2 linked regions of the Ovis aries genome follow. Each later gene encodes a partner of the first gene's protein in a complex. Links are inferred from orthologs where the notes say so. Each region holds a gene or a part of one and is shown in the gene's direction. Other genes may lie near its edges.

Region 1 (3,645 bases):
ACATGACTGTAGCGACTTAGCAGCAGCAGCAGCAGCATGCCTAAATAACATTCTATTAAATTTATATATATAAATATTGTATTCTTTATCCATTCATCCATCAGTGGACACTTAGGTTGTTTCCATGTTTAACTGTAACAAATGATGTTGCAGTGAACATGGAAGTGCAGATATCTTTTCAAATTAGGGTCTTTGGTTCCCTCAGATAAATGTCCCGAAGTAGAATTATTGGATCATATGGTAGTTCTATTTTTAATTTTTTGAGGAACCTCCATGCTATTTCCCATAATGGATACATCAGTTTACAGTCCCACAGACAGTATACAGGTTTTCCCTTTTCTCCACATACTAACCAGTCTTTGTTATTTTTTGTCTTTTTGATAAAAGCCATTTTGACAGGTGATGTCTCATTGTGGTTTTGATTTGTATTTGCCTGATTTGTATTTGTGGATGGTTTCCTTTCCTATGCAGAAGCCTTTTAGTTTGATGTAGTCCTGCTTGTTTATTTTTGGTTTTAGTGCCTTTGCTTTTGGTATCAAATCCAAAAAAAAAAAAAAAAAAAATCATCACTAACACAGATGTCGGGAGCTTACCACTTACTTTTTTTCTAGGAGTTCTATGTGCCCATACAGTATTAAAAGAAATTTTGGTTCTAAAGTAGCTTTTCTCAGCTCGTGTTCCATGTCAGAGTTAAACCCTATGGGAAGAGATTTGAGTGAAATTAATTCATTAGATATAATGGATTGCTTAAGACATTAAGACTTAATTTTGTTTTGGAGCCCCCTTGAGAAGAGTTGATATGAAGGAATAAATGTTTTGTATAAGAGCAAAGGCTCTTTTGGCATTTTTATCTATGGAGAAGAACTAAAAAGACAACTGATAATTGATGATACTAGTCTGGTTTAACCATAGGTCACACTTAACTTTCTGCAGATAACATCTTAAGGGAAACTTCTCATTCAAAATCTGCCCAATATATAGAAATCAAACTAGTTTTCAGAGAAATAATCCTCTTGAGGTAGGGATTGATAGTGATTAGAAGCTTCTGATAAGGGAGTGCTAAAAAATTGTCCTTATAAAATTATAATTAGTGTTTGCCTTTTTCAGTGTACTCACGTGAGTTACTTTACTTCTCAATGGCACTGAGATACTTTCAGTCCTCAGCAGATGAAGAAAGAGGAACAGGGAAAACTAAGTTACTTGCCCAAGTTCTTAAAGTATCTGCCACAGTTGGAATGTAAATGTTAGGCCACGCTTCATCTTTGTAGGAACAAAACAGCTCAAGTCTCACTTGGAACAGTTTTAAGTAGAAATTTATAAATTGAAGTATTAGTTAGCTTTTACTTTCTTCTTATATTTGAAGGAAAAGAGAAAGGAGGAATGAAAGGTTGTTGCTGAATGAAAAAAGGCGGCCAGGGTTCTTGGCCTCCGGAGGAGAAGAATTCAACCTGGGGCCAGAGACTAGGCTTGATCGCTCAGAGCTTTGTGTGATAATGTTTTATTAAAGTATAAAGGAGATAGAGAAAGCTTCTGACATAGGCATCAAAAGGGGGCAGAAAGAGTACCCCACTTCTAATCTTCAGCTGGATGTTATATACAGTCACTAGCAGTCTCTTCTCTTGCCTGGAGAATCCCAGGGACAGGGGAGCCTGGTTGGATCTCAGAGTTGGACATGACTGAAGCGACTTAGCAGCAGCGGGCAGTCTGTTAATGAAAGAAAGGAATGTCTTAAAACTCAGAATGGCACCAAGCCCCTTACCCATAAGATGCATTTTGGGATAACCTTGGCACCAAATGGTTCATCCTGGGCCATAAAATGATTAACTTCAATCTTGTAGAAGGACAGATTACCATACAAATAGTTTCGTTTACATAGATTCAGTTCAGTTCAGTTCAGTCTCAGTCGTGTCCGACTCTTTGCGACCCCATGGACTGTAGCCCACCAGGCTCCTCCGTCCATGGGATTCTCCAGGCAAGAGTACTGGAGTGGTTTGCCATTTCCTTCTCCAGGGGATCGTCCCGACCCAGGGATCGAACCCAGGTCTCCCGCATCATAGGCAGACGCTTTAACCTCTGGGAAACAATATCTGCGTATAACATACTGGTTTGTCAAGTAGGTTCTGAGCCAAGAGGCCAAACCTGCTTGAAGACAGAGTCTGGGGTAAATGCATAGTACATTAGCATAGCTTAAGACAAACATTTCCATAAGAAAAATGCATTGGTTATCTCAAGGTTTGAGAATAGTTAACTTCAGGTGAAACCAGGTGTCGTTATGGCAACACAGTATTTTAAGAAAAACCTCCTTTTAAATTTGTATAGAGAAGGAAAAAAATATCGCTAGTTTGTTTCCTCTTGCCAATTAAGAGAGATAAAAATGTCTGACACTTGCAGGCTATTTCCTCCCTTTGGAGACCCCTGGCCTTCCTGCCTGTTACCCTCTCAGGAATTACTGGCTTCAGTTTTCAAAGATACGTACTCTGGAACCTCAGTGTAGCATAAAGTTTGATTTTAGAATTGGAGTGAAGGCCAGAAATAATTGTTGAATCTTAGGGTTATAGATAATATGTACATTTTTTTTAATGTACTTAACTTTTATGGTCCTTAACTATTTTGTTAAGTTACTTCATGGCGTTAAGGCCTTAAGTAATATCCTAATGTAAATTCCAGTGAGACTCACTGGCTTTGATTCTTAAAACATTAATGCAATTATCTTTCCAGATTTTGTCCATGATAGAAGAAGCAGCTGGAACCAGGATGTATGAATACAAAAAACAAAATGCTCAGAGGACTATAGAAAAAAAGGAGGCTAAGCTGAGAGAAATTAAGACGGTAATTAAATTTATATAAAATATTTTTAGGGAAGAGAGTACTTTTCTTTTAGAGTTTCTCTGCTGTAAAAGAGGGAAATTTTACCACACCTGTCCTCTCCCCAGCCTTTGGTCAGTTTTCCTTAGTCTCTTACCTTTTAAATTTCTTTAGTGGTACTTCACGTACTCAAAAATATTTTTTCCTTTATTTTCCAGATACTTGAAGAAGAAATTACTCCAACCATTCAAAAATTAAAAGAGGTGTGTACTGTATATGTGAGGACAGCCAGCTAGAATGTCTCTCAAAATTGGTGATGAATCCATGATGATACTCATGGGGGTGACATGTGTTCCATTCCTCAGAAGTGTTTCTTGGAGATGAGATAAGGAGTTAGAGTTGATAGTCCATGCTCAACCTTCTGCTTATAGGGGACAGTGCATTTCGTATCTGTTAAGTCATAATGGTTTTAGAGATTGACTGTCATAATCTCAGAAAGCAACATGCCAGATTTTCATTCTTTGTTGAAGACAAGTGTAAATCTAAATTTTCCTGGATAGTTAGAATTGAGTGGAATAAATATTTCTTACAGGTATGGTACTCTTAGAACCTCTTGGTAGAGTGAGTAACTTCTAGGGTAAGAGGGGTTATCACTAAAATTACTGCTGTCAAGGCAGTTAGTAGATAATAGGTATTGAAACAGATGGCTGTTTTCTCTATAATCTTTGCACTTCTGACATCATATCACTGTTTCAGTGAAAGTATTTTAAGTCATGTATTTAGAAATTTCTTACATGTTCATTAAAATTTGATAATTCTCAAGCACTGAATCTATACAGT
Region 2 (4,368 bases), on another chromosome or scaffold:
ACCCCAGCAGATGTAAAATTAACAAAGGTAGGGACTTCCCGGAAGTCCAGTGTATAAGAATCCGTGCTTTCACTGCAGGGGGCACGCGGTTCCATCCCTGGTCAGGGAACTAAGATCCCGCATGCTGCGTGGCACATGGCACAGCGCAGCCAAAGAAAAACACAAAAACAAAAAACCACAAGGGTGACAAGTTCTACTGATGCCTCCAATAAGGACGCTTGAGTGTATCAGGGAAGGCCTCCCTGAGGAAGTGACATGAGCTGAAACCTGATGGGAGTTAACTGGGTGAAGATGAAGATGAAAAGGATCCTGAACTTAGGAAACATCACCCTGGGCCCCAGGAGAAGGGGGTCAGAGCAGGTTTGTGGCTGCTGTGGACCAGCAGGAAGGAAACATGGATGAAAAGAGATGTAGGATTGAAGAGACTTTTAGCAACTAAAGAGAGTCCAGCAATGGATCCAGCAGATAGAATGAGGGAGAGGGAGGTGCCCAGCATGGCTCCTGGGTGCTGATTTCGGTTCCTGGGTAAACTCATTTTATTTCTTCTATCGAACATTGCCTTATACGAAAGATTTGAAGGTGGTCACTGGGAGCACAAGTTTGTGCAAAAAGTAAATCGGCCTAAAAAAGTCGTTTTCAACGGGTAGTACTTTTTTTTGGTTACCAAAATGACTGAAGGGCATTCAGTGAGCAGATGGTGTCAGAGACACTGGACAGTCCTACAAAGAGGGCAAGAGTGTCACACGCTAAGAACTGTTTCACCCTGAATGCCAACAGCACCCTTGCAAAGAAGCACTGTATAAAATGTCACGTGTTAAGAAATTAAAGGATGCTTTAGGAATATTTGAGGGAACAGTCTTTTCTCCCATAATACAATTCTTTGGTTGCAATGAGTGGAATTAACAGGCAGCACAAAATCACCTGTCTCACTTCCAATCTTAACCTTACTTTTTTGGGGATAAGATATCTAGGAATCTTTTCGCATGAATATATACTAGCGAAAGTCTTCATTAAAGCACACACAACATCTTGCATCAGTTCCCCGGCCTGTAAACGCTCTGCATTCCGGCGTCCGCTCCCTCTCACCTCCATCCCACACCCAGTCCATCACTTTCGCCCTCCTTAGTGAGTGTTCTGCTGCCCTCACAGCACAGGTCGCGATGGCCAAATCAACCTTTGTTTCCTTGGTCACCTGCCTCCTCCCTTAGTGAATTTCGTGAAAGCAAAGGTGCCGCCCGCTCAGCTCCACGCTCGGTTCTTAGGGCCCAGTTTCGCGTCTAGCGCTTGACAGGACGGAGTCTCCATACTATTTCGTGAGGTGGGGGCGTGCGCCACGGATCCACTACAGTCCACCCTCACGACTCGAGCCGAGAGCCCTCAATACTGATTTCCCCCTTCCACGCGGCTGGGCCGACACTCCTCGCGCGGAGGACCAAAGCGGTCTGCGCAGGCGCGCCTCCGGCCCCGCCCACGTTGGCGTCATCACGGCCGTTACGGCGACCTGGCGTCTCGGCGCGCAATTTAAAACCAGCTCCGGCGACGCGGAGGACAAGATGAGACCTCCCTGCCCTGGTGAGGCTGTGCGGCGGGGAGGCGAGGCGGGAAGGGCGCGGTGCGAAGCGGTGCGAAGCGGGCGGGTCTGAGCGGGGAGTGCGGTATTCTCGGCCTTGTTGGTTTTGTTTTCCCGGGGCTGAGCGAGAGGCCGGCAGGCTGGGAGAGGAGGGCCGGCGCGGGGTGGGCAGGCGGGCAGGTCCGGCCAATCAGGACGCGGCGTCGGCCCGGGCTGCTCTTCCGGCCTTGAGCCGGATACCAGACGCCTTTTCCTCGGGCTCTTACACCTTGGGTGGTGTCTCTTCGTTAAAAAATGAGGTTTTCCCGGAGTGCACGTTTGTTCAGGGCCATAGGAGTATGGCGGTTACCGCTATGTGGTTATTAGGCTTGCATTTCTGTTTACATCCTTTCAACAAGTCCCCAGTGTCCTCATTGGGCCAGACCCTCTCTCAGATGTAGAGATCGATTACAATAAAGAACAAAACAGATAAGATCCCATCCTCTTAGAGCGCGTGTTTTAGTTCGGAAGAGAGGGAACTAAATAGTTACAGATGAGGCTGAGTGCTCACTTTGAGAAGAGCAGACTCGGGGGAGGAACTCAGAGATCTTTAAGATTCTGGAAAACGGGTTCCAGGCAGAAGGAGCAAGCACACAGAAAAGAGTAAGCGAGAAAGAGCCTTACACGGGCAAGGACCATGACATTGTAACTGAACATCGAGTGACGTCCGACCGGTCAGCAGGGGCTTTGTAGGTCTTGTGACGAGGTTTGGAAATTGAGAGTTACTTTTTTTGGACGTGGTAAGTGACTTACCTGAGTGGGTCAGGTAATCACTTGGATAAGAGTTTGACGCTAGGGGCAGTGATACGAACTGCTCAGGGAAGTGGCCTATGGACCAAGAAGTAAATTTGGTCATCATTACTGTATAGCTCCCAGCTCGTTGGTGGCTCCGATGGTAAAGAATCTGCCTGCAGTGTAGGAGAGGCAGGTTCGATCCCTAGATCAGGAAGATCCCCTGGAGAAAAGAATGGCTACCCATTCCAATATTCTTGCCTGGAGAATCCCATGGACAGAGGAGCCTGGCGGGCTACAGTCCGTCAGGTCACAAAGAGTCTAAGCTACAGGCCTGAGCGACTAACACTTTCACTTTCATTGTATAGCTGGCAAAACCATGGAAATAGGTGAGAACACCAGGAACACCCTGTAGAGAAAACACTTGCCACCAATGTTTAGAAGCTGATTAGAAAAGGAAGGGCTGGCAAAACTCAGAGAAGAGTGGTATAGAAGCCAAGAAGCCTCGGAAATCTCAGAGGCAGAGTGTTGTCAGCTCTTTCAGGTGCCGTTGACTCTCAAGAGGGACGAGGCCTGAAAAGTGACCATTGGGTTTGGCAGCATGAAAGTTGTGGGTGATGATGACGAGACAGTTTTCATACAGTGGTGGGCATGGGAGCCACACCAGAGGGGTTGAAAAATGAGTAGGAGGTGACGAAGTGGATATACAGTGTTTTTGAGCTCAGTAATCCATCTGTTGAAAGAATGGATGTATAATGTTAAAGGGAAGGAGAGAAATTTGAGGAAAGACAATTCTGAGAAATAAGGTGTGGCTCAAATTTCCGTTTTAAGTTTCCCTCTTAGACAGATTCCTCCTTTAATGCTTTCTATATCTGTTTTTCTTCTGAGGTCCAGCTTCCTTCCTTACATTGGTTGCAGTGCCCACATTCAAGTAGTCACAAGTCCTCTTGATTTAGCTTCTAAAACTGTCTATTGCCTCCTTCATATTTTTACTTTCTTTTGTTTTGCCCTCAGCTGAAGGTTCTGCTAATCATACTCTTTAGCTTGTGGGACGCTATCAGGGAAACTTATAAAGCTGTATTTTTAATTCTCTTTGATCCCCAGTCATCATTCCTTTCCTTCCTCTTGCTTGGGCAGCCTTCTAAATTTATATCTTTATTTTCTTTTTGGATGTGCTGGGTCTTCGTTGCTGCGCAGGCTCTCTGCTTGCAGCGAGCAGCAGCTGCCCTTTGTTGTGGCGTGCGGGCTCAGTCATGTGGCTCCCGGGCCCTAGAGCCAGGGCTCAGTGGTGTGGCACAGGGCTTCACTGCCACTTGGCGTTGGGATCCTCCCGAGCCAGGGATCACAGCTGTGTCCTCCATCGGCAGGCGGGTTCTTCACCACTGAGCCACCAGAGAAGCCCGTGGGCAGCCTTTTAGTGTTTGCTGTGTGTCACTGATGTGTTTTTATGAAACTAATGTGTTCTTATCTAACGTGTGTTATATTGTGGGGTTTTTTCACATCACCAGTTCTGAACCAGCCGAGGTATACATTCTTATTCTCATTTGGAGGATGAGGAAGCAAACCTTTAGAGCATTTACTTAAAATTTCTCCAGCTAGTAAGTGATGGAGCTGGAATTTGAAGCCAAGTCTTCTGATTCTTAAATCTGAAAACTGCCCCCAGGTTCCTTCACCTCTCCCCTCCAGTGATCGCTTCTTGGCCTGCTCTCCTCGGCGGTGGCTATTCACCCTGTGGTACCCTAGACCTTATCATCATCAAGAACTCTGCCGCTCTCATCCCAGTGCGCCCTGCCTCTCAGGCCTGTTGTTCCAGCTTGCTCCTCGCCCTCCGGCTCCAGCAGCCCTTCGACCCGGCAGACCTGTCTGCTGCGCTCTGCTCCTCCCTGTCTCACCTCTCTCATGCCCTCGCTCCCTTCCAACATAGCTTGCATTCCGTGGTCAATCTGTGTGATCACTTCCCTTCTTAACGCCCGTAACCCCTTACCCTCTTCTTGCCTCTCACACTTGCTTGTGACAGAATCACAACT

What was found.
Region 2: SMC2 (region 1) and NCAPH share a complex: the UniProt entries of both Homo sapiens proteins name them as parts of the condensin complex. The link is inferred for Ovis aries from reciprocal best matches to the Homo sapiens genes SMC2 and NCAPH.

Annotation. Positions count from the first base shown.
Region 1 is NC_056055.1:18,991,393-18,995,037, reverse strand, and holds part of SMC2 (structural maintenance of chromosomes protein 2), read left to right. Parts: intron 1-2,718; coding exon 2,719-2,829; intron 2,830-3,023; coding exon 3,024-3,068; intron 3,069-3,645. UniProt on the Homo sapiens protein: Central component of the condensin complex, a complex required for conversion of interphase chromatin into mitotic-like condense chromosomes.
Region 2 is NC_056056.1:104,030,102-104,034,469, reverse strand, and holds the start of NCAPH (condensin complex subunit 2), read left to right. Parts: upstream 1-1,518; 5' UTR 1,519-1,553; coding exon 1,554-1,572; intron 1,573-4,368. UniProt on the Homo sapiens protein: Regulatory subunit of the condensin complex, a complex required for conversion of interphase chromatin into mitotic-like condense chromosomes.